2 linked regions of the Kluyveromyces lactis genome follow. The protein of the gene in region 1 interacts with the protein of each later gene in a pairwise test. Links are inferred from orthologs where the notes say so. Each region holds a gene or a part of one and is shown in the gene's direction. Other genes may lie near its edges.

Region 1 (17,155 bases):
ATATCATCCAATGGCCCCCCTTGTAGGATACTGGCTTCAAAGATCATCCATGAATAATGTTTGACCCACTCATATTCTCCAGCTTTACTAAAATTGCTCATTGCTTCCACAATATTATTCTGGTATAGTGTATCCTGTCCCAAGATCTTATAAATAGTCTTAGCCACATCCGGCAACCTCCACTTAGCGCATACCGAAAGAAGCCATTCAATATCATCATTTGTAGTATATGGAAAGTGTGGTAATAGTTCTGCTAAGATTGCTCTTTTAGAAGAGTCACCTGAATCTGAAGATAAAGAAATTAATCCCACTGAAACTGGCCACAGCGTTTTATCATCATACGAGCATAAAGAAAGAGCAACTTGGCGAATTAAAAATTCTCCAATGGTTGGTTCATTTTCAAATGCAAGTTCTGAGTTCAATCCACTTTTATGAGCAAAAATTTCGTAGAAGTCAGTTTTTATAATTCCTTTAGCTTCGCACAATACCGCTACAAAAGCAGCAGTTGCAAGGTCTAAGGATTCAAGAATCGGTAACACATCAGCAACTTTGTCATTGATAATGTGATAACACGGCGTTTCCCAGTTATTGCAAACATCGATGGCATTATGTTTAGTAGCTAATTGTCCATATTCTTGACTCAATTCCAAAGTTGGTATATAGTACAACATCAATCCACAGTACGATTCGTACCAATACTGTGAGAATTCACAGATTTTATTTTTAGAACCACTTAAAATCATGAAGATGTTCATCAAATTCTTCTTGATTTCAGGTTCAACCTCTTGTTCATCCCAATTTGTCATTAATTGGAGTACGCTATTCTTCCATTCACGGAATAAATTTTCAGAATGAAGTGGGTAACTCTCAATGATTGTAATCAAATCAGTGACAAATACTCCCACTGTTTCATTTCCATGTTCCAGCAGTTGAGAATTTTGAATGCATTGGATACTCTGAGACCATAAGCCTCTCAAAAGAAGCTGTGCCGTTAGGTCCCAAAAATCAGATTGTTCATAGACTTTTCTTCGCGTCAGAAGGGTTTCATCAAAGATCTTTTGAATAACCAGCTCACTTGGTTCACCATCTGATCTGTTCACCCAATTGATCAAAGACTCTAGAAGGTCCTCTTGTTTGTATTCCGGAGAGTCAGTTAAAAAGTAAATTGTCTTCAAGCAATTTAGTATGCTCAAACATTCCTCAAGATCTCCAATTCGTTGCAGCTTATTCGTGTATTTGATGGATTCAATGTAGAACTCTAGTTCTGTAACCAAGGCATGAAATGCTAAATTAACTATCGAGAAGTGTTCGAGTCTTGAAGTTTGTTTTATTAGCCCTATGGTCGGTACATCGTTCTTGCGATGTTCTCCTAATCCCTGATACAACTCAAAAAGTTTTGATACATATTGGGCAAATTCTTTAGATTCATCTAAATGTAGAAATCTTACAGGATATAGTTTATTATCTTTCGTAGAGTTATCAAAAGCAAGGCTTCGGGACGAAACGTTGTTGTATTTGAAGCGTAATTCTTTGGCCGAGGGTTGCTCAATAGGGAAGTTCACCATTGGTGCATTGCTGACAGGGTCAACATTGATTGTTAGATTAATATCATCATCACTTTCATTGCTGATACCTTCTTCGTCCAAAAAGTCTAGGTTATCGACATCCATTAATAGGTCCTGTGTGTCGGCGAATTCATCGTTAGCCATTGTTACTGCTATGATTCTTTGGTGAAAACACGCGATTAAACCGCAAATTTCAGTTTAACTCAAGGTTTCAAAAAAGAAAATTATATTAACAGTCAGTACAAATCCCAATCCAGCGATTGAACGTAACTCCTTTAATGATTTGGAGCGTAATTGGTCTCTATATTCTCATTTTCTCTCAATGTTTACTGATTGCAATATTCAAAATATATCCTAAAAGTGATATATACGAATCTCTTAGAAAAATTTGATGCTTGTTACACCCGTACACCACATATGAAATTCCATCTATCCTTCTTGAACTTCCAACATTTATCTACTGAACCAGCGAGTATAGCTATGGGTTGCCCCTCTAAATGATAAATTTATATGCCGGTAGATCAGCATGTGCCAAAAAGCGCATCAGAGATCTCCAAGTGCTCCTTAAATCATCTTTCTTTATACTTTTTCTTCCGTAATGAACTGCGTATAATTTCTTATTGTCAAATTTTACTGAACATCAATTTTCAAACATTAAAAGTAGCGATGAGATGAGATGAGATGAGATGAGGTAAAACGAGATCACCTAGCAGATTACATATCGATATAGCAGCTCTGAACGACGTTCGTAAGGGTGAGAAAATCAAAATGTCCTTTCCCAATACTGCAGAAGGTATCACTCGGTATCTCAGATCGAAGAACGTCACTACACAAGAGATTTATGACATTTCGGTTTCCGTACTAGATGGGAAATACGATATATACTTTCCAAATGGCCATATCTTTATATTAGAATTGATCATTGACAGATGGAATGATGCTAAACAGGCACAGTTCAGAAAGGACACCAACATTTGGAAGTTATGGAAACAGCTATGGGTTATGGTTTCGTCTGAGAATCATAAGAAAAAATTATTGAGGAATCTAAGATCAGTAAATTTAATTCAACTAACATTTGAAGAGATGCAGGACGGTGACCATGAGCTTTGTGAGCATGTATATGAGGTACTGAAATCTGTTAATTCTTGTATGATTACCGCAGTCTCTCCGGAAGCAGGTCTTAAGCTTTTAGGTAGAGTCATAGATATCGTACTTTCCTGTGACTTTGGTCGTGAGAACTTCCTGAAGCAAGCAATAATTTCAGAAATTTTGACATTTACTGATTTGAACAACTTTACGGAAGTATCTAATAAAGTTTCTGGTGTGTACTGCTCTGAACTGTTGCTACCGAGTTTGAAATACTTCAAGCAGGCTGACGAAGAGGTGTTTGACAACATCTTTGACGTATTATCTGAGTTTACAAAAAGGTATTTATTTGAATTCACAAGGGATTTGCCTGCAGCGTTGAAAACTTTTGTAGGTTTGCATAAAAGTTCCCTCTCCCCAGATTTATTGGTTTTGCTTTTCACAAAGTGCATTACAACAGGTAAATGCGATGCCGCTACTCTGGAAACCATTTTAAAAATGTTGTTAGATATTGATGTCACAATATGCGCAGATTTGTTGGCTACACTCAATGCCTACAGAAAGATTATTTCACAGACGTTTTTAGAGTCATTATTCACTTCCGTATTTGAGTCCAGAGATTGGAAAATAATTAAGAGCATTATCGAAATGGACATTGAAATTGGTATCTTGAAGACGGAAGAATTAATGAATGCTATGGACGCTTCGACCACTAATTTTGAGCTAGAAATTTGGACTTCAATTATCAATTGTCATGTCAATGCCAGAGAATTTACAAATCTTTTGACTATCTGGAGAGAATATTGTAGGAAAAACACCACTTCATTATTCTTGACTGATTCGAAAATGACTAAGGTCCTTTCCGATAATGTTCCTGCATTATCTGTAACACAGACTCGTGCAATCATTACAGATTTAGTAGATGTTATTGCTTCTGAGAATGATATTTTTTCAGTGAATATTTTACAAGTTATAGTTTCTGGATTGAAAATGCTCTCTTATGCGCAGTGCTTGGAATTTCGGATTTATCTTTCAAAACTTTTTGAAATAGAGGGTTTTAATGCTCCAGTATTTTGGCAACTCAAATATCACGTTCTTGAACTATATGATGATCTTCCTATCGCTGTGAAGTTCAATCCTGACGACGCATCAGGTCTCATCAATCTTGGAAAAAAATACCATAGTAGTGAACTATTTTTCGCCTTATTCAAGTTCTACGAGCTCCAGCCATTTGAAAATTTACCTGTTATTGAAGCTTTTATGAATTTTATTGGTAATCTGGACTCAGCAGAGTTATCAAATATTCTACAGACCCTTTTAACGCGTTGGTCAACTCTCGTCGATTCATCATTCGGAAATAAGAACATATCACACCTGATCGAAAAACTACTTCAAAATCACATCGATATTTTGCCTGTGCTATTCGCTGAAGAGGATTTTTTTGAAGAGTCTAACATTGTTCGTTCGATAGTGGTTCACTTGACAGCCGATGTTAATTCTAACCTTCATCTGAAGTATTTATTGGAAATTCCAATTCAATGTTTGAATAAGGCTGTAAGATTGGCAATCCTAGACCAAATAATAGAGAAGGATGTTTTGAAAGAGGATGACATAAATGTTCTTTGTCATGTTTTGAAAAACCCTACCTCGAGGAGCAAAATAGAAACCGATTATAAAACAATGCTCACGTTTGTCGGCAATTCATTCTTCAAATATAGCTTGGAAAATCCGGTTATTGCAGCCGTTTGGCAGAGTGCACTGCTTCAAAGAAACGACAACAAAGCATCTTCATCCATGGATTCTCTATTACAAAGCATTCAGGCAAATTTGAATCATACCTTTGATTATAACACTTATGCCTTGTTGCATCTGGTACTCAAAACATGCGATGAATCAGGGTTGCATTTAGATGCTCTTAAGGTTAAGTTCATCAATAGTTTGATTTACAATATTCAGCATTTCAACGGAGATTTCAAATTACTTGCATGGCTGCTCAAGGTTTTGTTCATTCAAGCAAGTAACTCTAAAACAACAATTCCTGTTCCACCGTTATTTTCGAAGGCATCCGCCATTCCTTCTGACATTGAAGTTCAATCGGCATATTTTATGGTATCAACACTAAATTACAATGATAATATTGAATATCTTCTAGCGCAGTATCTTATCTTAAGAGAAAATGGAGTGTCTAAAGAGATGTTATTACAGGCAATAAAATTGAACATATCCAAGAGAATTATTAATAACGATGAAGACTTCAATACAGCATTCGAAACGATCTGCAATACTATGCCTGTACTATCAACAAGCAACTCCGGAGCAGTATTGGAGCTGCTACAGTTATTCATCCACTTTGTTTCAAAACAGAATAGTAGTGGAAGGCATATTTTTGTCAAATCAATTTCACACCTTTTAACAAACTACTCTACTAGCATTATAGACAGAAAAGATATTATATCTTTCATTACCTTTCTGAATGATCTGCTGGTGGCCAAACCGTTTTTATTCACACAGTACTGTTCAGAAATGCTTTTCCCACTAACATCCAAGATTCTTTTGGATAACATAATCAAAGCAGCTGATACACCCGATCAGAGAGAGATCAAAAATAAGATTCCATACTCTAAAAATGACCTGATTTTTTCCTGCACACATATGCTCTCTTCATTGCTATTATTTCATCGTTATAAGTTATCCAATCGTACTCATTTGATCAACATTGTTATCTGCCAATTACTGGAGTTACTATCAGATGCTAAGCAATACGCTCTATCGGTTGAATCAGCGAAAGCAGTATCAAGATTCATATGTAACTATTGTGAGCCTGCAAATGTGAGAAGCAGTAAGCAGACGACATTGTCCTCGGCTGTTTCTAATGTTAAAAGATCGCTAAGAAAGAATCTGCCAGTTGTTCTTCTACAATTCATCAAATTATCAGTTTCAAAACCATATCCCACCACGATAAAGAAAGAGTTGATGCTCGCAGTATACGCTATTTTTGATCTTCTGTCGCAGACTGAAATGAACTTGCTTAATGCTAGCTTGGACAGTAACGGCAGATCATATTTCAAGACATTACATGCGGACTACAAGAAAAGTGGCAAATGGCATGATGATTGAAAAGTGGCAAATGGCATGATGATTGAAAAGTCCTAATCATTTTATAAAGTTATGTTCTTCTACATTTATCTATATACCATTCAATTAGTCGTATTGCCTTCCTATCAATTCTATCATCAAACGCATATAGAGGACCAAAGTATTCTTTATGTTTAATTCTCATGAAATGCAAGACATCTTTCTTAGTGACTAATCCGGCCATGGTTCCGCCATTCTCTACTATAATAGTTGAGCAGCCCAATTTCTGGAACATCATGAAAAGTATACTCAACGGAGTAGACGGACTAACAGTAATCGGGGTATAATTGATTTTTGATGTTAACGATTCATCTCCACATTTTCTGAAATCAATGATATCGTCGGGAGATCCAGTAGTGGCATCTAAGAAATAGCGAGCGTACTTTGTTAATATAAAGCCAGAGCATGTCGAATCACCTTTGGAACAGCTGCTGGTGATCGGAAGACCGCTAAATTCGGCTGCTGGTCCATCTATCAAATTTTGCAGATCTTGACGAGTCATTTTTTCATTCACGTAGACTAGTTCTTTCGTCATGATGTCATCTGCATAAAAGTCATCCATGAATTCGTGATCCCCTTTCTGCTCTTCCATCAATGGGAATCCATTAACTATAATCATTTGGTCAGCAATTCCTCCCTCGGCACCAAAGGAGGAACAGATAATTCTAGTGAAAGCAACAACTACCATGGTAGGAAGAATATACGTAAATGCACCCGTGACCTCAAACATGATCACCACCACTGTTAGAGTTAGATTTGTTATACCACTTAATGCTGCAGTTGCACCAAGGAAAGCATAAGTTCCCGGTGTAATGACATTTGGTCCAGTAATATAACGCTCTACTATTAAACTTACAGCCCTTCCAAAAGTTGCACCAACAGCCATTGAGGGAACAAAAATTCCGGCAGGTACTCTACAGCCGTACGAAGCAACGATTAGCAGGGCTCGCACTACAGTTGCAAAGAGTAACGAAAGCAATAAATTGATGAACGAGATGAATGAGGCCTCGTTGTCAATTGTACAAAGTCTATGCGACCATAATGATCCTTTCTCATTAGTTTGACACTCATGAAATAAAATTTCCATAGATTCTGTCATGTCAAGTTTCAAGAACTCGTTGAAATAAGAGATAATGGCAGTAACAAACGTTAGTATGACAACTTCCTGTAACGGCCATCTTGAGAGATATTTCTTTCTAAAAGAAACGTAATGCACATTCCATCTGCTTATGTATTTGCCATATAAACCACCAAAAATTCCAAGAAGGATGAATATTGGGATTTCTTCCACATGCCATTCTCTATCATAGGTGACTTCAAAAACAACGATCTTACCATTTCTAGATGGATCAATATATTGTAGAGCAGAAATACCTGCCAGAGCAATATAATACGACTTCCACAAGGCAGATAACTTGAAAGGAATAGAAGCTGACATCTCTTCAAGTGCAAATAAGACACCTCCAATAGGTGCACCAAAAGCTACTGCAACACCACCTGCCGTCGAAGCTGTCAAGTATTCGGATTGTTCTGGGAAGGCCATCTCCTTGCTCAAGAGCCAATTAGTAATTACATAACCACAACAGGTAGCATAGTGAACAGATGGTCCCTCTTTACCAACACTTAAATCAGAAGAAATGGCAAGCGGTAAAGCGACAGATTTTACTATAAGGGTCTTCAAATTCAAAAACTCCGGGGTATATTGGAAACCTGATACCCAGGATTTAATTTCTGAAATACCAGATCCAGTGGCAAACGGTGCAATGTGTAGGACCATCAGACAACTAATAGTTGCAAATGTGACCGATAAGAACATGAATAGCAAAAATGAAAAGATTGGATTGGTTGCTTCTACCCAAATACCTTTTTCGATACATTCGCTTTGGGATCTTTTAAAGAATATTTCTGCGGCATTGCCAGCCGAACTTATTATGGAACCATAACTCCTTTTACTGATCTCTTCTTTAGGACAGCAGAATGCCTTGTTTAACAACCAATTTCTAGCACAATGTCCAGATTTCCAGTTTACTAACAATTCAGTGAATATTTGTAAAAAACCAGCAATACCGCCAATGGAAAGCCCAATGGCAGTCAAAGTAATGAAACTGCTACCTCTTTTCCATATTAACCTGCGGTACTCATACCAACTCGAACGCGGTATATCAAATTCGTCATGCGATGTTCCCTTGGACAATTCACGCTTCTCTTCCTCAATCCAATCCACAGAAGTGAACTTATCGAAATTACCGACTTCTGGTATATTTCGCAGAGCCTGCTCCTCATTTACCTCTTGGTCAGTCATAGCTAGCTATTGCTCATCAATTGGGTCATACCTAAGTCAAGGGCAATACTATGAGTTTATTCATAAATGAGTTGATAAATTTACATATTGTAATACGTACATTTTTCAATACAAAGAAATATGCACCTTTGAAATTAGGTAAAGAACTGAGAGTGAAAGCAGCTCTTCCTGGGGAAGTATGAAGCATACGATGGGGAACAACAACTACAGACTGCGTGTTTTAGACCATAATAGAGTACTATAGCAATGGCGGAGAATGGCCAAATGATCACAATAGGAGGAATGTATATCGTTCTTCTGAATTAATATAGTGAAACAGCCGTACATTACACCAGTTTGTGATCCCATTTGTTTCTTTTTGCTCATCAGTCGAGGAATTCGAAAATTTTCAAAAATTGAAAAACTAAAGAAAATGATTTCAAGAGACTAACCTCATCTCATCTCGTTCCATCTCATCTCACTTTATGATAAAACTTTTTTTAGACTTGGACTTGATCCGATCTTATTTCTAGTCTTAAAACACCAGATTCAAGCGAGCTTTTCATTCTTGCAAGGAACTTGAACTGACCCAATCGGATACTTCACTTCATATTATAAAGAAATAATGTCTGCTCCAAACCCAAAGGCTTTCCCATTGGCTGATGCCACCTTGTCCCAACAAATCTTGGATGTTGTTCAACAAGCTTCCAACATGAGACAATTGAAGAAGGGTGCTAACGAAGCTACCAAGACTTTGAACCGTGGTATTTCCGAATTCATTATCATGGCTGCTGACTGTGAACCTATTGAAATCTTGTTGCACTTGCCATTGTTGTGTGAAGATAAGAACGTTCCATACGTCTTTGTTCCATCCAGAACTGCTTTGGGTAGAGCTTGTGGTGTTTCCAGACCAGTTATTGCTGCTTCTATTACCACTAACGATGCTTCTGCTATCAAAAGCCAAATCTATGCCGTTAAGGACAAGATTGAAACTTTGTTGATTTAAGAAGGATTTGCACATTTCGTGATTTCCTTTTCTTATTCTTTATATCAATCGTTTAAGGAGTTAACCGCTTTGTGGGGGGTTTGCATAGCAAAGAAAAGATTTACTGCACGTTCATTGATTCAAGTGATCGACAGGTAGATTTTTTTTTTACGACCTCTGTATATTAAACATATATATTACAATTAATACAACTTTTTGATACATTTGCATCCTTCTTAACAATGACATCAACATCTGATGGTTCTAGTTAGTGGTCAGTACATAGTTTTTTTTTGTCTGTTCAAATTAAGAAATGGTTACAGGCCTGTGTATTCCAGATGATATTGTCAGTTGGTAAAAAAAAGTAATAAATTTGACACAATCTTTTGTGCTTTCGACTATCCAACCCTAAATTTACAAGTTTGTTGAAATGAACTTAGAGGAAGAAGTCTGACTGTCCATCAGTAGCTGCTCGAATATGTTCAAGTTTAACCCATTACACATTGTTGGTAGGGAAAAGATAAAAATCCGCTATCAAAGTTCGGATAGGTTGGATTGTGAAGACCCGCCAAAATTTAGGGAAACTCGATGTAGATGTTGCGGAACCTTGTTACGACATCCTATAGACGCAGTTAAGTTCAAATGTACAATATGTGAGGTGACTGTTGTTTTGAGACAAACAGCAAATTCTAGGGATACTGAGGGCAAGATACTGCCGGACCTTGAACAGTTATCCAATATAGTTGGTCAATGTCTCGAATCGTATAAGAAAGATCAGACAGGAGATGAGACCCCCGCTAAAGAGCTTAACAGCTACTTCATTCCTGTGGAAAAATACATTGTTCAAAAATTCGGTACAGCGGAAGCTTTGAATCAATTATTCAAACCAACTGTTAAAGATCAAATTATAAACTACGAAAAAGCAGTGACATTTTATAATTTGATAGGCTCATTGCCTACCAAAAGACCCATTTATCTCATTTTACGTGTCTTTAATGAGGTTTTGAAAAGGCCAAAGATCCTAATGGATAAATGGGAGCACTATTTATTCATTTTTTTCATCTTGGAGGTACCTTCTTTAAGGCAATGTATTAACAACAGTACTACAATTTCTAGAACACCCAAGATTAAGACTTTAAGTTACGAAATATTAAAAAGATGTATTGGTTACTTGGGGTCAATGAATAGTAAAGTTTCGGTGAAATATAAGAATCACTTAGTTCGTTTACATCCATTGAAATTTCAAAAGCAATGGGAAATTTTAAACTTGTATTTGAGTTATCAGTTCCAGAAAATAGGACCCGGTCCGCCGCATTCACCACGAGGATTATCAGGAACGTTGTTAACTGAATCATCGCCTGTGGATGAAACCAAAGATGGAACTGTATCTTATCTTTTCCACCCCGGAAGGCAAAAGATACCGTTAGAGAGCAGGTTCAGAATTGAAAAATACGGACTTGACTGGCATATTCGCACGGTGTGTCAGCTAATGAACATATACTTTCAAGCTCATTGTGAACAGCCAAAATGTGACATCTCGGTTTTTTACAATATGATAATTGATTTCATTGATTACAAACGTGATTTTATGATGTGGCATAAGATGAATAGAGAGCAATGGAGGACCCTTGACGATTTATCCATGACACAGTTACATGAAACGCACTATACTGCCTTATGCCAGTACCCTTTTTTGATGTCCTTAGGCGTTAAGATAGCCATAATGGAGTTCGAAACTGGGAAAATGATGGAACATAACGCTGAGCAAGCGTTCTTAAAGGCGTTGGACTCTCGTAAACTTTACGATGTACATTTCCGAATAAAGGTAAGACGAAGCCATGTGACACAGGATTCGCTAACGTCCATTCAACGACATCCACATGATTTGAAAAAATCCCTAAGAGTGGAGTTCTCGAATGAGCCTGGAATCGATGCTGGCGGTTTAAAGAAAGAATGGTTCCTTTTATTGACTAGGGAATTGTTTCATCCAAACCATGGACTATTTCAATACGTGGAAGAAAGCCGATTATCTTGGTTTGCATATGGGAACACCGGTCTTAAGCTTCATGGAGAGAACAACAATGAACTATACTATTTGTTTGGAGTAGTGTTAGGTCTTGCAATATATAACAGTACTATATTGGACTTACATTTTGCGAGGGCCATGTACAAGAAACTATGCAATGAGCGGATCACTTTTGAAGATTATGAGGAGTTGTACCCTGAGACAGCAAGAAATTTAAAGAAAATGTTGAGTTATTCGGAACTAGATTTTAGTGATATATTTGGATTGTCGTTTGAGACCACGTATTACGATGTAGCCAGTGGTATCAACGTCACGAAACCGTTATGTGACGGAGGAGAATCAATCCCAGTAACCTCGGAGAATAAGACAGAGTTTGTTGAAAGGTGGGTAAATTTTTATATGAATGAGGGGGTCTCATCGAGTTTTAGTGCATTCCAATCCGGGTTTACAAGAGTCATCGGGGATGGTTTGGCTTTCCCGATGTTCAAAAGTTGTGAAGTAGAAAGGCTCATCTGTGGCAGCATAGAACAAGACATGGATTTCGAACAACTTCGCGCTGTGACGAAATACCAAGGCGGATTCCATAACCAAACCCCGGTAGTGGAATGGCTATGGGAAATACTACCACAATTATCCCATGAACAGCAACGTCAATTTCTCCATTTCGTGACTGGGAGTGACAGAGTTCCAGTGACGGGACTTGCGACGCTTCCGTTCAAGGTAACCCGCACAACGTCCGGATCACATGATCAGTTGCCCACTGCCCATACCTGTTTCAACGAACTCTGCTTGTACGAATATGAGTCACGTGATACTCTTCTTCTGCGATTGGTGACTGCCCTCGAAATGTATGAGGGTTATGGGTTTAAATAATGTCAGCAACAAACATACATTAATATAATCACTACAAACGAACCAATCATATCGTGAACCAGGCTTTACAGAAAAACCTGCTTCCCTTGAATAACCAGAAAACACAAGGAAATGGACACTTACAGCTACTATGTGAAAGCCGTTAAATGCGAAGCGTTTTACTGACACTAGGCCCAAAGGCCCTAGTGTCAGTTATCATTTCCACCAAGAAAATCTTCCTATACTTGACCATTTACGCAAATAAAATTGTATACTTGTAAATTGGAAAATAATAACCACACCAGGAAGTTCTGCCTCGTCCCAGCTCATTTACACTGTCCATTCCTGTCTGGTCGAATTATATCTTGTTTAATCCTTTAGCGCTTCTTACTATTGGCTTTTTTCCCAATCTGAAATTTTTCTTTGTTTTTTTTTTTTTTGCTTCCTTCCGCACTTATTAAGCTGCAATGGCTTCTGTTTAATATGGATAGAGATAATTTGATAATTTCTCTGAATAAAATAAAATAGAAAAAGATTTAGTACAATCATTTTATTATTACTTTCAGTTCCAACAACATTTTTGCATTGATATATATATTTTATAATCTGGCTTGGTGATTCATATCTGTGTATATATTTATTGATACTCCGAGAGTGCTTTGCTGTTGTGATTAAAGTCGATATCATAGAAACGATTTCTCCGAAATAAGAACGGGAAATTAGTACGAATAATACACTCTAGCGATATATCCATAACTAACTAATATCAAAAATGTTGGGTTTAAGAAACGGTTTGAAGACTGGTTTGAAGTCTGTTGCTCCAGCCAGATTAATTTCTACTTCTGCAGTTGCTGCCAAGTCTACTTACAGAACTCCAGATTTCGGAGACTATATCAAGGAGAATAACGATGCTGACAAAGGTCGTTCTTATGCTTACTTTATGGTTGGTTCTTTAGGTTTGTTGTCCTCTGCCGGTGCCAAATCCACCGTTGAAACTTTCATCGCTTCTATGTCTGCATCTGCAGATGTTTTGGCTATGGCTAAGGTCGAAGTCAACTTGGCTGCTATTCCAGAAGGTAAAAATGTCGTTGTGAAATGGCAAGGTAAGCCAGTTTTCATCAGACACAGAACCGACCATGAGATTCAAGAAGCTAACAGTGTTGATATGTCAGCTTTGAAGGATCCTCAAACTGATTCTGACAGAGTTCAAAAGCCAGAATGGTTAGTCATGTTGGGTATCTGTACTCATTTGGGTTGTGTTCCTATCGGTGAATCTGGTGATTTCGGTGGTTGGTTCTGTCCATGTCACGGTTCCCATTACGATATCTCCGGTAGAATCAGAAAGGGTCCAGCTCCATTGAACTTGGAAATCCCTCAATATGAATTCGATGGTGAAAACTTGATTGTCGGTTAAGCGCAGAAGGAAAGCTAAAAAAAGATTATATTATGTTGATAAATTGTTGAAATAGGCTACCTTTTTTTGCTATTTCTCAAATTTAACTCTCTTCCTTTTTCTCTTTCTCTTTGTCCTTCTCACTCCAGCTTTCACTAATAAAATTCTTTATTCCCATGTTGATGTCTCCTACTCCCCCCATGTATTTTCCAAGTAGGATTCACAACCAAGGTCAATATCTTTTATGCTAAAGTTTGTCATATTGGAATCGTGTAAGCTCGTTTTTTCACGTTCCATCATCACTACCCGATTTATTATTATTTATTCATACAAACATTTTTGAAACCACAACTACCCGTGCCCCCATAGCTCAAGCAAACTAAAAGGATAGCAAGCATGAAATGCTTTTGAAGCATTGTTCAATTGTATGTCATCACTTTTCCTTTTAACTGCACTGAGAAACAATCGCATTAATACCTGAATGACCACATCAGGCTACTACCGTGATTGAAACCCTTTTATTATATTCCAAAATCTTTGAAATAGTCCTGCTCTACCCGATGCATGGTTATACCTACAATCTGAATCGCTTAATGTTGTATCGCCTTCTTTTCCATAAAAGGTCAGACACGTATTTAAAGAAAAGCGGGAGTATTGGATTAATCTGTCAATAGTAACTTTAACCTTTGATTTCCCTTTTTCAACGAGATTTAGGCCTAGGAACAATGCATTGGTATTGCAATGGGATGTCATTATTTCGCTTTTAATTTGCCTATTTTCCCGCTAATCACGAGAAAAATAAATTCAATTAATCAATCCTATACTCTTAAGATGTCTCAAAAACTGTTAACCCAAACCATAAAAACCTAAAAAAATCTCTTCCAACCAAAATATTTTACCATAAGAATAGAGAAATTGACGAACAATTAATTTAAATTGAGATTACCTTTCTCTCTAGGGATTCAAATTTTTTATCATATTAAGGTTTGTTTCCTGTTATTTATATACTCTGTTAACGATGCCAAGATTATATATTATATGTATATGTATATTCCCCACATACTCTTTTAAAAGAAATGAACAAATTTAATCCATTTGAACGCCGAAAATTGGGAACCCTTGAAAAATCCAGTGCTGTTTGTAGACTAAAGTTCTGGGTTAGCTTCTAACAAGCTTTCAAGATCATCTGGAATTCGCTGCCAATTTTCTCGATCCCATTCGGTTAGCATATCACACATCTCTTTTCTTATTTTGTTGATATCCCTTTTCTGACAATTGCACCCGTCATTGACACTATCAGGAGGCAGCAATGGTTCTGAATCAAGTCCAGGGTATGATATCAAAGATGAAGTCAACGAAGATCTGACCATAACTTTCTTCTTCGTTTCACCGTTCTTCCTCTTTGGAAGGGATATCTTTTCATGCTGCTCAATTAAATCTACGCAATAATCTGGCAAATTCTTCGGTTTGTAATCGTTGACAAGCTTTATCCTCCAGTAAACTGACCAATGAAGTTCGCCATATTCAGGTATATTCCGTCTTCTACCAAAATTTGGCACGTAAACGTTTTTCCATTCACACTTTTCGTTTTCGATTCTTATTCCTATTGGAATCAATTCAGCAATCCACCAAAAAATCACCCTAAAGATACTCACATTTCCACTTCCATCATTTTTTTTTTGACGACCGATGTCCTTCCCTGGTTCATCAGTATCAAAACCTTGCTCAAGATCAGAACAACTAGATGGTGATTCCGTTTTCCAGTTAAACGTTCTGAAGTAAACGTTCTCTGTTTTATGACGCCACGGTAACCAACTTCTCTTTGATGGCAGTTTGAAGCCGTGGTATCTATTAATTTGATCTTCATCATATTCATTAGTCTCTTTTTTGTGAAATGGGTTTTTCATAGTAAGATTGCTCTTTTTGAAACTCAAAAGATCGTGCGATGCTGACAATAAGCTTCCAGCAGATGTATATTTGCCAGCAAATTCATGGATGATTCCTTTTTTAAAAAGTACTCCGGATTTGATCGCTTCTGAGAGAATCCATCTTAGAGACATATCACTTAAAAAATGATTTTTCTCAGTGATATCCGGTGGCCAACTCCCACCAATATCTGAGTGATCGCCTGGAAACCACTTCTCTATTAGATCCGATGATGTCCTTTTACTATCAAAAGTACCATGGGGAGAGTCCACCTCGAATATACCTTCAACTCTCTGGTTCACGAAATTATCTGTTCTTTGGGAATGTTCCAGCTCTAGGAAATTGTTGATTCGGGATATTAGTTCTTGTACGGACTTACTAGATTGTGATTGTGATGAATTAGGTCTTGAGCCAATGGTATGATTTATAAATTGGTTACTGGTACTGTGATAGTTTGTTTTCGGGGCAACATTCTCATATTCTATGACATAATTTCTATAGTTCAACGAAAATAAATTTGGTCTATAAGGATTAGGGGAAAACGACTGTTGTTTGAACTTCCCTCTTCTTTCGTCAATGCTAACCGCATGTCTGATGTGACGAACGATGCCGCTCCTAGCTGTATAGGGAAAGAGCCGATCTAAAAGTATACCACAAGAATTCACCGAATCAAAGAGGCCTTGAAAATGTATTTCGATCTCAATATTTCTTGAAAACGTTTTCTTAAATTCATCCACCAAAGTAGTCGCATAACTCGGTTGTACGGGCTGTGCAGCGTATTCCCAGGCTTCATATATTTTCCAAGCCATCCATATCATTTCATCTAGTCCAACGTTTAGAAGTCCAACCATTTCCAGCATTCCAGCTAGTACCCTTGCTATGAACGCACCTCTGCTGAACCCGAACATAAATATTTTGTCTCCGGGTTCGTAGTGGTGCATTAAATACAGGTAAGCAGTCATAATATGATGATCCAAACTGTAGGCAACAGCAGAATCAATAGCCGTCTTCAATTTCTTCCAAGTAACCAAACCACCAAAACCAGCTTGTGCATCATACTCCAACGAACTACCGATGCCTGGTTGGTAATAACAAATCTGCCTTTCATAATCAGAGCCATCAAGCATCCGATAAAGCTTCAATACATTGCTGAAGGGGTTGGGGCCGAAAGTATTATCCGTTCCATCAAAACAAAGTATTATATTTTTACTGGTGGTACTCTGACCAGTGCCCAAAGAGGATGATGCCATTGAATTTCTAAGAAAAGCATAGAAGAGCTATGCTATTTTTTTTGGCACTTTTTTCGGCTTGATGTCTCGAAATACTAGGTTTATATACAGAAGCTGCTCGAGCTGGTGTATCGAGCGCCACATATTACATCCAATGCTGTATGATCTTTTGTGTCAGTGGCATCAAAAAGAAAAAAAATATCTTTCGTTACCCGCATTTGTGACAGAAATTTCACTCAATCTGAATGAGGAAGCCAGCATAGATAGAAGAGAATTCAAGGGTGCTACAAAGGTAAATGTTTAATCGGTATCTCTATTAGCTGATTTAAGTACCCAAACTTTCTTTAACTTATCAAATACTGCGACATCTTTTAAGATTTTCCGAACACGTTCTACGTCGGTTGAGTTTGTTAGCTGTAATCCGACTCTAATCACTAGATCTGCTGATTTGCTCGCAAACCCTGGTGACTGAGATAGATATTTTTCAATGGACGCTTTGAGTACCTCGGCGCTCTTCTCGTCCTTCTGTGTAGCATCTGATTGAATGTCCTCTCTTTTAATTTTCTCCCGCTCTAACGTATCCCGGTTCAATTTTCTTGCAAACTTGCTGTCATTTGTAGATAATGCAGTCCTACTCTTTCTTATTTTACCTGCCCTACCGAATTTACCAGTCCAAG
Region 2 (15,628 bases), on another chromosome or scaffold:
GAATTGGAGCTGCCTATTTTTCCTTTTTTTTCACCTCTAAGTGGCATGGAAATCAGTGTACTGTGAGCTATTTCATTACGTGCAAACGGAAAGCGGTGCCCTTTTCGAATCTACGGGTTAAGTCCGCCCCCCGCACCCCTCTCTCTCCCTCAGGCTCCTTTTTTTGAGTCGTACGACATGTCAAAACGGATACAAAAATGGCAAACGACTAATTTTTCTAGCAAGAATATGTTTCCGCATTAGTATGTGTCAATATCAGTTGACAGAACCTATATAAGTATTCTGTGGCATTTCAGGATGGTTTTTTTTTTTCAGTGTAAAGCCTTTTAGAAGAATAACATATCCAATGGCAGGTACCTAAGGGAGTACTGCAACAACGAGATTTGAGAACGGATTACAGCAATTCGGTTCGATAAGCTAAGGAATGGGATATTTTCAACCTGTTGGTAGTGTCGCTGGAGGTGAAGAAATCTATGATGAGATCAATGACGTTGATGGATTCAGTTGGCAAACGTATCCTCATGCGAACCATGATAGCGCACTTGGGAATGCACTTGCGAAAAGTGGTATAACAAAAAGCAGTTCTCAACTTATAAAAAAGGGTAGTGCTACCAAGATCGAAACTCAAACGTTATATTTTTGTGATCAAGATAGTGGATACTGTGGATTTATCCAATTCTTAAACAGCAGTGTCCTAGGAGGGTTCTACAAGTCATTTGAAATGAACATCAAGGTGTTTAATGTAGACAAGGACCGTACTAATGACTCTGGGAGTGATAATGCTAGTGAGTATATCGATTATTGGAAGAACGTCAAATTAAAGAAGCCATCTGTTTTCACCCCGTTAGAAGTCAGCAATCAGAACATGCGGTTCATATTTCGGAAACAATGTGACCCCAGTTGGGACGAAGATACTGTTGGAAAGAAACAACGCTCACGCAATTTTTATCAAGGAGCTGAAGCGGTTCCGAATGAATCAAGGATAGGCACATTAAGTGTCGAAGGTCAAACGGAAGAGTTGTCCATCAGTTTAGATGTGAATATAGGCAAGGGATTCAAGATCAAACCCGATGGTAGGAGTTTCTTCTCGAGAGTTCCCATGAGGGGCAACCCAAACGTCGACAGGTGTATCAGACATGTATTTGCTCCGAATTGTACTGGATCAGGGCATATAGTGGTGAACTCGAAAAAGATAAAATTTCACTCAGTACCTATGGTCCTCATCACTGCATTGCAAGGCCTTAAACCTAACAGCGCTGCCAAATCGTGGAATTTCGCTGCTTTCATGTCACCTAGACGGACAATTTTATGTATGGAGTTTACAACGCCAAAAGAATACGGTGAACAAACAGTGACCATATCGTCGGACACAAACAAGATAACCTCATCACAGCGCATATATTGCGGTATACAGGATAAACATAAGCATGTGAAACATTTTGGGCTAACACTGGATCCCAAGACCGGAGTAGAGTATCCAAACATCGTAGAGATTCCGTTACCCAAAAAAGACGGTGAACTATGCCCCACGTTACTATTGGGGCCCTTAAATCTAATCAATGTGTACGATATATTACAAGAGATGCCCACGGTATTGAAAGGCATTGTGGAAAAGGTGGAAGGAATCAACCCATATCTATATCAGTTCTGTCAAAGAACCGAGGTAGATGACGAACGTGCAATATCACTTGTAGAAACAACATTTATAAGTCCATAGATCCAATTCAGATAAATTTAAAAAATGATTAACAGAGTGAATAGATGCGAGTCGTCATTAATCCCAGACATCTGATCTCCCATATCCAAGAGTCAAACGTCAAACGTCAAACGTCAAATTACGTATCTTGGCAATCTTCAAACACAGCAGAACATTACCCGGTACAACAAAAGAAATTTTTTTCCTCATTATCTTCTCAACCAATTTTCATAGGAAAACAGAGAAATAAAAAGTAAACTTAGAGCTCATCTCAAGAAATTGGGACTAGAATAAAATAGTGTGTAAAAAAAGCAGAGAATAACCTTGTTTCTGTCTTTGTCTCTGTCTTTGATCAAATCAGAGTTTCTCCTACCAACGCTGGCTGTAAAGATAGTGGAAAATTTTACGTATCTAGGTTAGAAGTGCAGTAAGATCAGGAATATTCAGGAATAGATTTCCCTGCTCTTCGGTTTTTTTTTTTTTGGTTTCATTCTACTAGTCGTTTATCTGCGAAGAGAAAGGATAAGGAATAAGGAATAAAGATTTGAATTGTGTGTGATCCCAGGACACTTACTGTTGATTAGCTAGTTATTAAAGATTGTGTTGAACTGGATAAAACGTTTTATAACCTAGAAATTTTTTTTTTCTTTTGGTTTTCTTTTTATTAAATTGTTGAGCCTATTGATTTGATCCAGGTGCATATAGAAAAGTCCACTAAAGAGTAGAATACCATTATTGCAGCTGCTAATTGCAACTGATAACACATATATATTATGTCAGGTAAAAGCCCGAGGAAGTTAACTAGTGGGAAGAAGCCTACGACTCTGAAAGCGTTACAGGATAAAATGGGAAATAAGAAGGATAAGCCTCCGCATTTAAGTTCTAGACCGAGACGTTTCAGTCTAATATATTCTAGTGATTCGTCGCTGAGTGATATACCACAGGATTCGAACAGCAGGGGCTCGAATTTGTCCAAGTTACCGTTATATAAGAATCCCAAAGCCGGAACTAAGCTAAAAGGTCGATCTTCGAATGCGATGGGTAAGAACGGAAAGCTGATATCAACGAATCAGGACTCAGCCATCACATCAGGTTCGGACAGTGCTACAGCGTCTTCAGACTACCAGTCTCTCTCGGAGGATGAAGGAGGTACAATGGCAGTAGATGATGACGATGATGATGATGATGATGATGATGATGATGATGACGATGACGATGATGACGATGATGATAGCGACAGTTCGAGTACTAGTTCAGACGATGACGTGGATTTTGTGAGACTTACTGCGGAACGTAAGAAAAACGCAATGAAACAGCTGAACGCTTTGAAGAGGGGCAAGACACCTGCAGAAACTGTCGTCAGTAACAGCAACAATAAAGGTAATAGTAAACAGGGTGGATTTCCTAATAGGGCTCAGCAGAATCGTGAAGCTTCGGATTCGAATGATGAGGACATTTCAAGCTCTGAACTATCAGATGCTCCTGAACTGTCATTCAATTTCAAAGGCGACGATGGGATCAAGTTCGGTGATGCTTCAGTAGCCTCCAAGAAGGCTGATGAAGATTTAGGTGAGGAAGTCAAGGATAAAGATGTGAAACAACCTTTAGATTCCATTAAACCAAATGTCGATAGATTGGCGGTACCGAAATTTTCAGATAGTGAGGATTCAGATTATAATATCGATCAAGAGGCATATTTCAAGACCATTGATGATGATAACGAAAATATTACCGGTATAGATAACGGCCTTGAGACTGGTGATGACGATATGGCTATTCTGGATGTTGAAGAACAGAATATGGTTAAACAGCTTGAACGTGATGATCATTCTTCTTTCGATGATTCGCAGGTGGAATCAAAGTATAGAGATGGGAAACCCAGAAATGACGACGATGATTACGAATACGACGAGGACGATGAAGATGATGCAATCATGAGTGATTTCGATATGCCCTTTTATGAAGATCCCAAGTTTTCCAATCTGTATTACTATGATGGCAGCGACCAACCCTTAACTTTAAGCACATCTTTACCGTTAGTGTTAAGCGAAGAGAAGCGTAAGAGGGAAGAGCGTAAGCAATTAAAACAGCGGGAAAGGCAGGAGAGGTTGAAAAGAAGAATGACTTCCAAGAAGTCTAAACGTGAACATTCTGCTACTCCAGATCTTGCAGAAGATGAGTACGTATTTGGGTTATTTTTCCAAAGCGATGACGAGAAACCTAAAGTTACCAATGACCTTGAATCTCCTTTGCGTAGGCTCAGTACCGTGGCAGTATCTGATAAAGAGCTTTCATCTGGAGATGAAGAGTACGAAGATATTCTATTAGATATCGCCCACCTCCCTACAGATGAAGAGGATGAAAATGGCTTGGAGCTAGACGAAGTCGAAAACTCAGATGGTGAAGATGACTTTGAAGAAGATGATGACGATATGAGTGTCACCAACGTTTTCATTGATATTGATGATCTCGATCCAGATGGCTTCTACTTTCATTACGATTCGTTATCAGATGAGGAAGCTGGAGAAGCTAAGAGCTATCCTGACACTCCAGATGACCATGTGGAAGGTGTCATCTTTGTAGATGACGAATCCACTGATGAAGATGACACTTTACCACCTCCAAATACAAGACGCAAAATTGGGACTAAGGCAAAAGAAGTCGTTAGTGCCAACGTTGTTGGTTTGAAGCCTCCGAAACTTGGAACTTGGCAGACAGATAACAAGCCCTTTAGTATCATTGATGGCCTTTCCACTAAATCTTTGTATCCTGCTATTCCGCCAGTTCAACAAATTTTAGATCCAAGAATTGAAGTCGAAGACGTTTCATCACATAATGGTATCGGATCAGGAGGCGAAAAAGAGGAACTAACCCTTAACGAATTGTTGAATATGAGTGAGCTTGAAGATGAAAACAATGAAGATGGCGCTGACTCGAATTCTAAGAATAAAGAGATTGCCACCTGGTATCACAAACCATCTGTTCCATTATCTGCTTTCAGAAATAAAGGCATCAACTTCGAACATCAAGAAGACGAATACATGCTTCCTGTGTTTTCAGCACGCAAGTTCCCAATTGGTTACGTTGGTAGTGAAAGGACTAGAAGGAAGATCGATAAGATGAAGGAATACCAAAGAAAGAAAGATGAAAAGCGACGGAAGATAAAGAAGAAAAAGAAGCTCTTGAAAATCAGAAGGGAAAGGCAAAGAATTGAAAAGCAAAAATTGCTCACTGCTCCTGAACAAGAAACTGAAACTGAACCCAACGCAGATTCTCACAACAACATTCAAACTCCCTCTAGCGTGAATTTGGCTAGTCCAAGTTCAAGTGTTTTCACCGATGCAGATGCTGGAAACACACCTAATGATTTCAACGGTCTGGTTTTACCAACGAGGAAGAATTCTGTGAAGGGATTAGGAATGGATGAAATTGATCAACTGCTGAAATCTGATGATGATTTAATACTTTCTCATCATGGAGATGAAGATGGAGATATTGATCTATTAGGCAGTGACGATGCAGATCTCCTGGTTTCTCTGACTGCCCCGATTGAAGAAATTGATTTTAACCATGAACAAATGAGCCATGTTGCCGCATGGAGAAGAAGAAACAGTATCGCCGAAGCTGCTGCTGAACATATGAGAGTAACCAAGAATGGACTTTTCAGTGAGACGGCGCTAGCTGATCTGGAGGAAATCATCGGAGGATCAACAGAACTCCCAAGTTAACCCTCATTTTCACTTCCTTTGATTTTATTTTTTATTCCTTGGTTTTACCACTGCTGCTGATGCGAAACTACTCGACTAAAGCATAACCATAAACTACAATTATCTGTATTCTACCTACTACACTTTCTTGGATATAATCTACATAGATATCATTCTGTGAAGCTCTATTCAGCTTCACCATTTTTTCCGTAAGAGGAGTGTTGTACTTCTCTCATAAATCAACAATTAACTTTAAAATCATATCCATTAGAATATTAGCAAATATTTAGCAAATATGTGTAAGTGCAAATAAACATTGTCTAAAGACCGTTCCCGGTTTTCAGCTCCTTTGTATATGTTCAATCTCTTTCTGTTTCAAGCATATGATAACCCATGCCTCATTGTCTACGTTTTTTTCTTTTTTTTGTTCAATTCGAATGTTGAAAAGTTTAATTCATCTCATCTCATCTCATCGCATCACAGAAATATGCTAGGTGAACCAATAAGATTATACCTGGCCAATTATTAGCACCCAGGACAGCACCTTGGATCTCCCACTCGCACAATGGATTTGAGAACTACCTATGCATCCACGAAACTAGAGCCGTTTTATGCTGGTACTGGTGCTATAGCATCTGTTTCTGAAGATGGACGATTATTAGCGACTTCGGTCGTCGATAAAATCAACATTGTTAGCTTAGATAGCCCACGCCGAGTGTTGCATTCTGTTGATACTGAGGATGAACAAGACATCACCGCATTGCATTTAACTCCAGATGGTTCTTATTTGTGTTTTGTCTCACAAGCGCAGTTGCTCAGAGTGTATTCTTTGAAACAAGAAAGAATTATCAGATCAATGAAGATTTCGTCACCGGTGTACGTCATGAATTGCGATCAAACATCTACACTTTTGGCTATAGGTGGTACTGATGGTAGTGTTAGTGTTATTGATATTGAAAATGGATATGTCACGCACTCTTTGAAAGGACATGGTGCTACCATTTCAAGTGTAAAGTTTCACGGTGAGTTGAACAGTGAAATTTGGAAGCTTGCATCTGGTGATACCAACGGTATGATTAAAGTCTGGGATTTAGTTAAACGTAATTGTCAATGCACTATTCAGGAACATACTACAGCTGTTAGAGGGCTAGATTTCCGTGTCACTGATGAAGAAAAGGGAACGCTGCAGTTATTATCTGGTGGTAGAGACAATATCTTAAATCTCTTCGAGTTTAATTCGACGAAAAAGTATAAGCTACTGAAGACCATCCCTGTCATAGAACAGGTGGAATCGTGTGGATTTACGCAGGACCCGGATGTGGTTTACTCAGCCGGTGGTGGTGCCATTTACCAATTAGTGTCCTTGTCAACAGGAAGAGTATTAAAGAAAACAGCAAAACCTATTGAAGAGCTATTTATTATTGGTACACTATGTATCCTGAACGGAACTAAGCAGTACTTGGTATTTTCAGATCAAACTTTGTTCCTAATAGATGTTGAATCAGCTTTACAATCGGAATCTGAAGTAATTGAAGTGGAAAATAAGATTGCAGGTAATCATGGTACCATTGCAGATATAAGATTCGTTGGTCCAAAACGGGATAAATTAGCATTAGCTACTAACTCTCCTACTCTTAGAATAATTCCAACCCCAACTTCTTCGGAGGAAGAGTTCGAAAATGGGGAGAACAAAGAAACATTTCCTATTGAAGTAAAGATGTACGAGGGTCATACGGATCTACTCAACTCTTTGGATGCCACCGCTGATGGTCTCTGGGTTGCTACAGCATCCAAGGATCACAGCGTTATATTATGGAGATATCATGCAAAGTACGAAGACTTTTATCCATACACTAAATTTGTCGGTCATGTAGGTTCTGTGAATGCTGTTGGACTTCCTAATGTTATGCCACGTTCATGGCCTGAATTCATAATTACAGCTTCTAACGATTTGACCATAAAGAAATGGAAGGTTCCTAAGGTGACATCTGATGAACCCGAAGATCTAATACTTGTTAAGACCTCAGAATATACCAGAAGGGCGCATGAAAAGGATATCAATGCTATCTCCATTTCACCTAATGATTCTCTATTTGCCACGGCTTCATACGATAAGACATGTAAAATATGGAATTTGGATGATGGTGAATTCCAAGCCACATTAGCAAACCACAAACGTGGTCTATGGGACGTTGCATTCTGTCAATATGACAAGTTATTGGCCACATGTTCCGGTGACAAGACCATCAAAATTTGGTCCTTAGAATCATATGCCGTCGTAAAAACTTTGGAAGGACATACCAATGCAGTTCAAAGATGTTCCTTCATAAACAAGAACAAGCAACTGATAAGTACTGGTGCTGATGGTTTAGTTATTATTTGGGATCTATCAACTGGTGAATCGGTCAAGACACTAGATGCTCACAATAACCGTATCTGGGCTCTTGCTGTTATGAACGATGGTGAATCCTTCGTTACAGCAGATGCTGACGGCTTCTTTGAGTTCTGGAGGGATAACAGTGAAGAGGAACACGAACGTAACCTCGAGCAAGAGAAACTGAAGATTGAACAAGAACAATCATTACAAAATTATCTCTCAGAAGGTGACTGGACTAACGCATTTTTGCTTGCCATGACCTTGGATCACCCAATGAGATTGTACAACGTCTTAAGACAAAGTGTAGACAACTCAAATGAGGATCCAAATGTAGTTTTCAACAACGAAATTGACGAGGTTGTGTCGACTCTAGATAAAGATCAACTTCTTCTTTTAGTGAAAAGGTGCAGAGATTGGAATACAAATGCAAGAACACACACAGTAGCCCAAAAGATGATAAGGTGTATTCTTCTAAGACAAAATATTGAAGAGTTGAGCGAAATTCCTGGGCTTGTAAGGATCGTTGAATCAATAATCTCATACGCAGAGAGACATTACTCAAGAATGGATAACTTGGTTCAAGAAAGTTATATCTTAGATTACGCTTTAGTTCAAATGGACAAATTGCTATAAAGAATGTAAATATAGCACTAGTCGTCATGTAGATATATACATATAACAGTACAACACACCCACCGCATCAACTCTGAATAGATACCATATCCAGTCAAGGGCCATCCATCAGTAGAATAATAAGTTTGTTACCCGGCTTTGAGTTTTAGACAGAATTTGTTTCCCTGCAAAAGAAACTTCATCAAATAACTAGACGATGTGAAGCGATGAGATGAGATGAGATGAGATCGGCTCTCATCCTTCTTCTGTTAAAAGGTGACTTCAACTGTGAATTTTTGACAGTTATACTTTAAAGTTAACTCTCCTCCATATTAACGAGAAGCTCTATCGGAAACTATCATGTCAGAGGGACATATTGCAGCTATTAGCAAGACGAACAAGAGGAAGAACAGAAGAAAGAAGAGAAGAACGCAAGACGTGTCCGACTCAAGTTCTGATTCCAGCTCCGATTCTGAAAATTCATCGGTAGAAGATAATGATACTAAGCTCGAAACTGTGGAGAAAGCTGCATCTGATGTTGAAGATGTAACGCTTTCAGATATTGACATGGATAAAGAAGAAGATGAAGCTGCATTGGACGATAAAAAAGCCAGCCGAAAAGAGGGAAGCGTCTTGTCCTCGGAGACTGTGGACAAATTAAATAAAGTGGGACTAACAACAAGCGATTTAACTGGCAACAATGGCATTCATCTAGGGAATATCGATTTGAATAAGATGTCTGCTACGTTAGATGAAAGCAGCAATAAATTGCTAGAGAATAATAAGGACAAGAACGGATTAAAGAATCAATATTTGAGTATGCTATTTGAGAGTTATGGTGATGACATGAACGAATTGAGAAACGCACCAGATTTCACTTCGAAGACCCTTGTCATGCTAGCGAATGTTCTAAAAGACGGAGGAGATATGTTTGATTTGGAGACCTTGAAGACAATAGTAGAGGATAAATAGTGTTTGGATCTATCTAGCATTTTAAAAACACATGTATAATAAAATAAAAATACAAACCATCTATCACGATACAGCTAGAATGAATCAAATAAAGTCTGGACGGCAAATTGATGATTTGGAGTAAGATATGAATACGTATTGGAATGATAAAAAAAAAAGTACGTGATACTAGGGAACGCTTAAAAGAAGAAGTAAAATAAATAAGAGATGATGAGGATGATTATGATTAATTAATTTTGTTTTATTTGTGACTCTCATTCGATGACCTTAACGAAGAACCAAGCTGCACCTGCAGCAGTCCCACCGACTGCTATCATTTGTAAGCCTTCCAGTAACTTTTTCTGCAGGGTACAATCGTTCATTGAGACTTGGGATTTGAAATATCCGAACCAGAACAACGTGAAAGTCATTAATGCAATAGAGATCAGGAGACCGGTTCCCACCGTTTCAACAAAGAAATATGGTATTAACGGGACGAACCCACCGGCAAAGTATCCTCCTCCGATCGTTAGTGCACTAATCCATTGTCTATTATCATCGGGTTCATCTAAACCTCTTCCGTATTTGATAATGAAATCCACCATAAGTTCTGGGTCTCGTTGCATATCTTTCACAAACGATATCACTGTATTTTCCGAGAATTCTGGGTTCATTTCCATTAGTATATCTTCAATTTCATGGTTTATTAGCTGAGTATTGCTATAAAATTTCCTTTTTTCTTGCGACACCTCCGATTTATAGTAATCACTTTCAGATTTAGCACCCAAATAACCACCAAGACCCATAGATATAGCACCAGAGATCAATTCCGCGAACCCACCTGTAATCACCAACTTGGAATCTCCCAACGAGGAAAGACCTGCGGTCAACGCGAAAGGAACCGTCAAACCATCACTGAGTCCGATAATCATATCGGACATAACTCTTGGATCAATCTTACCGAACAATCCAGACGTACCATCATCCTCATTGTCATAATCGTCAAACCCACCTGTATGCTTTGAGGATTCTATATCGCCATCCTGTGGTGAAGCCGAGTATCGATGACTATTCAAATTAGTGGTAGAATTCGAATTGGAATTAGAACTATCGGATGATAGTAATGGAACTTCCTGATTTTTCGCTACGAGTTTTGACACAGCGTTTTTAATTGCAACCACGGACATGTAGTTCTAGTTTCTGAATATGTTATAATATATTGTTATTCTGGTCTTATTTTTACCAAATAGTTAAAATTGTATAGCAGAGCAGTACTGCTGATAAACCAATATCTACAAATAAAACCGTTCTTGTGTTTTGTTCCCCACTTATTCCAGGTTTGTTCCCTTGGTTTCACTTCTCAAAAAATCACCTCAACTTTATTTTCTTTGAAAAACGTCTATGAGAATTCAAATAGATACTGCGAGTGCAAACAAAAACCAACCAACAGCTCAAGCAATGTGTCTGACACTTGTTCCAATATTGTTTCTCTAAAAACTAAATACAGAAAACTGCGAAGAAGTGCTTATAAAAAAGTGAATAAAACGTACAAGCTTTATATAAACTTTGTATAGTAATATATATATATTTACAATGAATTGGGAAAAAAATGAAAAAGATTACGGCTTGGCAAATAGCGCCGCTGGGGCATAGTAGTAAAAGTTTAAATTCCAAATCAATTTGAAATCCGTTATATAACGGTGAGTAGTCCCACGGTTTCCCGTGCCTTTGAAAACCTGTGTTTCTGTGTGGCTGGTAACGTCAGCATTACGCACGGCGATTTCATTGGACGGCAGAGGAAAAAAAGAAGAAAATTTAGTGTCACGTGGGGATGGGAAGCACGTGACAGAAAGTCACGTGGTTTGTCATATATGTAACAACAATACCAAGATGTCTTCGACATCTTGGTATTGCTCTAATACATTGATCAACAGATGCCCGAATGGCCTATTTGTGAAGAAAAAAAATTATATTACACACGTTATACCCAGATAAGATTTTAATTTACATATGGATCCTTTGCAGGATGATGATGATGATAATGATAATGACAACTCGCCTACCGTTTAAGCTTGAGTAGAAGAAGAGTACTTGGTAACAGCTCTGGTACCTTCAGAAACAGCGTGCTTGGCCAATTCACCTGGCAAGATCAATCTGACAGCTGTTTGGATTTCTCTAGCAGAAATAGTAGATTTCTTGTTGTAAGCAGCCAACTTGGAAGATTCAGTAGCGATTCTTTCAAAGATATCGTTAACGAAAGAGTTCAAGATGGACATAGACTTTTGGGAAATACCAGTGTCTGGATGGGTTTGCTTCAAAACCTTGTAGATGTAAGAGGAGTAAGTTTCCTTTCTAGCCTTAGTTCTCTTCTTAGATGGATCGGTAGAAGAGGAAGTCTTCTTAGCAGCTGGCTTCTTTTCAGCTGGAGCCTTGGATGCTGGGGCCTTGGATGCTTTAGCAGACATTATAGTTGTAATATTTGTTTTTAGTAATGTGATAGTACTGGTTTTCAAATAACTAGTGCTTGTCGAGGGTGAATTACAGAACCATATATATTTCTAATAGAAACGGATAATCTATAAGGAGAAAGGGTAAAAGTATCCATTTAGTCAGTCTCTTTATATACAATTTGGTTCTTCGCCATAGTAAAAGCGATTTGCCTTCCTTAAATTGTGTCTTTGGTACTTGTTTTTTTTGTTTTTCACGCTAAAAAGGCATGTCATGACCACAGCTTCGCTGTGGTAAACCGGTTTACTATGGCGGATGGAGATATTCTCCGCGCGTAACCGGTAGCACGGTCTACGAAAAAGTTTCCTTTTTCGGAAACAACCACGGGAGTCCATAGTAAAAGGGAATCCGTTGATTGTTTGAAAAAATGGTTCCTCGACATCTCAAGAGACAATATATTAACATTCCAGGAGTTTCACGGCACAGGTGAAGCTGTGAGAACAGGGGGTTTGTTTTCGCTGCCGCTTTTTCTTTTTTTACTTTTGTTGTGTGAGCGTGTGCTTTGCTCAGTGACACAGTGGCACTACCGTGCCACCGTTTCTTATATAAAGAGGTCACTTCTTGCACTTTCAGTTCCTCTTCTGTTCCTAGTTTAGCTCTTCGTATTGTTTGTTGTTCATCATCACAGATACTACTAAATCAAAAACAACACACAAATCAAACACTATAATACAATATAAAAAATGTCAGGTAAAGGTGGTAAAGCTGGTTCTGCTGCTAAGGCTTCTCAATCTAGATCTGCTAAGGCAGGTTTGACTTTCCCAGTCGGTAGAGTTCACAGATTGTTGAGAAAGGGTAACTACGCTCAAAGAATCGGTTCTGGTGCTCCAGTCTATTTGACTGCCGTTTTGGAATATTTGGCCGCTGAAATCTTGGAATTGGCCGGTAACGCTGCTAGAGACAACAAGAAGACCAGAATCATCCCAAGACATTTGCAATTGGCTATCAGAAACGATGACGAATTGAACAAATTGTTGGGTAACGTGACCATCGCTCAAGGTGGTGTCTTGCCAAACATTCACCAAAACTTGTTGCCAAAGAAATCTTCCAAGGCTAAGGCTTCTCAAGAATTATAATAAGCCTGAGCAAAGGGGGGAAAAAAAAGAATGGAATGCATACAAATTTTATTTTAATATGAAAACAAAATTCATCGGGTCTGTCACTAATATATCTTTCTTATGTTTATTCTGAGTTGGCATTGGCATCATTTTAAACACACAAATTACTTTATCAAACAAGGAGAAATGGGGGGATTCTCTGTTTCATCTCTTTGTATGGGATAGTTATTTTTTATTTGTACTATATTTTAAATATATATATAAACTACTTCATCCTACGTTATGAGGTATATCTTTAATCGTCATGAATTTCGGGTTAGATTACTTTCTTTCAATGACTTTCAATTCTGTCTGTGTTGTTGATTTTGACACATTATTGTCCTTTTCCTGTCTTTTAACATTGAATATTCCCTTGAATGTATTTTAGATTAATTTGGACAAAGTTGTTTTAGATCAAGAAGAGAGTAGAAAAGAAAAATTAATTACTATTAACGGTATAACTATTTAGTGTTGATATGAGTCTTATTAGATTTAAATAACCTTTTGAAGAACGAACCTTTCTCGTTCTTCTTCTTGCTTTTCGTCTTCTCATTGATACGTGGGGTGTTATCGATGGAGGGGGACGAGGCTGGGATCACGTGATCGGGATTGCCTGGTTCGTTTACATCGACAGGAGTAGCAGCAGTGCTAGCTGCTAGCACCGTGGTATCCTCAGTGACGACAACGGGGTTCGCCCCGGATTCGTGTCGAAGCGAAGAAGAAGAACTTGTGTTATTATTGTTATTGTGATTATTGTTATTGTGATTAATATTATGACCACTGGCATTAGTGTCAAAATTGTCAGTTGTTCCATTGGACGGAGCGACGTCCGGTGGTTGTTGAGAATATTGTTTTCCACGGTGTTGTTTTGGTGGTTGATTACCAGAGTTCTCTTGGCTGAACTGGACAACCCTATCGAGTATACTCTTGACTTTTTTCTTTGGATGTCGGCTCTTTTCATTTGTTGGAATCGCCGCAGTAGGTTGTTGCAATTGTTCGTGTTGAATTTGTTCCTCACGCGTGGGCAAGTGCAGTGTGGTCGGGAGCACATGTGGTTGCTCGACATCTGCATCTTCAAGTATCGGTGTCATTTCGTTTCTAGATCCATTGTCTGTACTATGCGAAACTGTTTTTGTAGGATGACCATATTTCTGTTGAGCAATCTCCAATGCTATAGCATACATCTCCTCTTGGCTTAGTGTCTTCTGATCAGATGTAGGAACAGTAGGGACGGCAACTGCTTCATTCCGTTTCTTACTTTTGAATATGGATTTTCTTTTCGTGGCGTTATTGTCCGGTGTAGCTTGATCCGTAGTATCCTTTTCTGGTTCAAGTTGTGCATTGGGAGTATCTCTCAAAGTCATCCTCTTGGACATTGTACTTTTCCTTCCAACTGATTTCGCTTCTGTGTTCTGAACCTGCGATATACCTTGATGTTGAACTTCTTGCTGCTGCTGCACCCCCTGTTTCTGGACCAGGGGTTTTCTTGAAGTGTATGATTTTGAATTGTTATCAACATCAACTTTATTCACTTTTGCCAGGAAATGGTCCTGATCATCTTCCGCAAATGCACCTGATTCTTCAACGACATCTGATGCGTCAGTGAAGTGCTCTTCCCCTTCCTCTTCCGAATCACTTCTGATGTTATTCGCAGCTGAGTTATTTATAGCATTCGAGTTGAAATTGGCCAATCTCTGGTTTGTCCGTGGTTGCGATTCGGATAACGGAGCAGCAGGAGGAGTGGCGGACAGCTCATCGGAGATTGGGAACTCATCATTTTCAGCAAACTGCTGGAAATGAAACTGAGGGTCTTCAACCAGCCCAGCAGTTTGCGTGGTAGTTTCCACGTATTCCATCCCGTTGATCCTTCTTATAGTCTGCGTCGTGATCGATTGCGTTCTGCCCATCATATCTTTAACCTCTTGTGTCTTGATGATAATAGATCCGTTACCACCTCCAGCAAATGAACCGGTCCTTGAACCAACCCTGGCTACTGAACCAGTCATAGAACCAGTTCTACTGCCAACACCACGACTGGAAGCTGTACCTGTTCGTGGTATGGCAGAAACAGACCTTCTATTCCCGACATTACCGGTTCGAGGAGCGTATGCTCCACGAGCAGTAAAACTGTAACTTCTAGGAATATAAGACGATTGCTGTTGCTGCTGTCCAGGATGACCCATCCGGAGACTGTTAGCTCTTGATATATTTGTATAGCCTCTTTCTGGATAATTCACCAGGGATCCAGCCCTTGCACTAGCAGCAAAGGCCGCATCTGCAGAAAGCTCGTGGCTCTTAAGGTAATTATCACCCTGATTTACAGAATTACCACCGCTACCATTGTAATGATAGTCATACCTGGATAAGTCTGGAACCCTAGTGGCTTTTCTCCTGTTTCCTAAATTCATACCAAATACCATTGTTGAGGATTTCGATGTATACTGTTCAGTATAGCACTTTGACCAGAGAAGAATAGTGATATAAGCCGAGCAGCGAAAAGGGTATAATTAAGCTTCCTCAAATTTCGCTATTTAAAGGTATATTATATATATGTCCGTATTTATATACATGCTTCTTTGTTTATATCAATGCATCCTTTATTATTATTCTGTGATTTATGTTCCATTTTTCACTTATGGAACAATCGAAATTTGCTATCTCTGCGAATTTATATCGAGAA

The links.
Region 2: the proteins of URB2 (region 1) and RSA3 interact in binary tests that used the Saccharomyces cerevisiae proteins (3 or more experiments, as listed by UniProt). The link is inferred for Kluyveromyces lactis from reciprocal best matches to the Saccharomyces cerevisiae genes URB2 and RSA3.

Annotation. Positions count from the first base shown.
Region 1 is NC_006041.1:2,001,470-2,018,624, forward strand, and holds URB2 (ribosome biogenesis protein URB2), read left to right. Parts: upstream 1-2,333; coding exon 2,334-5,768; downstream 5,769-17,155. Other genes in the region: NUP85 (Nup85p), read right to left, coding at 1-1,709; GEF1 (Gef1p), read right to left, coding at 5,818-8,088; RNA binding protein SNU13, read left to right, coding at 8,693-9,073; putative E3 ubiquitin-protein ligase HUL4, read left to right, coding at 9,531-11,951; ubiquinol--cytochrome-c reductase catalytic subunit RIP1, read left to right, coding at 12,703-13,344; KLLA0_E22595g (uncharacterized protein), read right to left, coding at 14,469-16,499; DNA-dependent ATPase RAD26, read right to left, coding at 16,779-17,155.
Region 2 is NC_006042.1:1,218,210-1,233,837, forward strand, and holds RSA3 (Rsa3p), read left to right. Parts: upstream 1-8,752; coding exon 8,753-9,364; downstream 9,365-15,628. Other genes in the region: KLLA0_F13200g (survival factor 1 family protein), read left to right, coding at 425-1,717; KLLA0_F13222g (uncharacterized protein), read left to right, coding at 2,470-5,424; U3 snoRNA-associated protein UTP13, read left to right, coding at 5,969-8,413; CCC1 (Ccc1p), read right to left, coding at 9,619-10,530; HTB1 (histone H2B), read right to left, coding at 11,410-11,808; HTA1 (histone H2A), read left to right, coding at 12,535-12,927; MSC3 (Msc3p), read right to left, coding at 13,410-15,368. UniProt on the Saccharomyces cerevisiae protein: Required for efficient biogenesis of the 60S ribosomal subunit.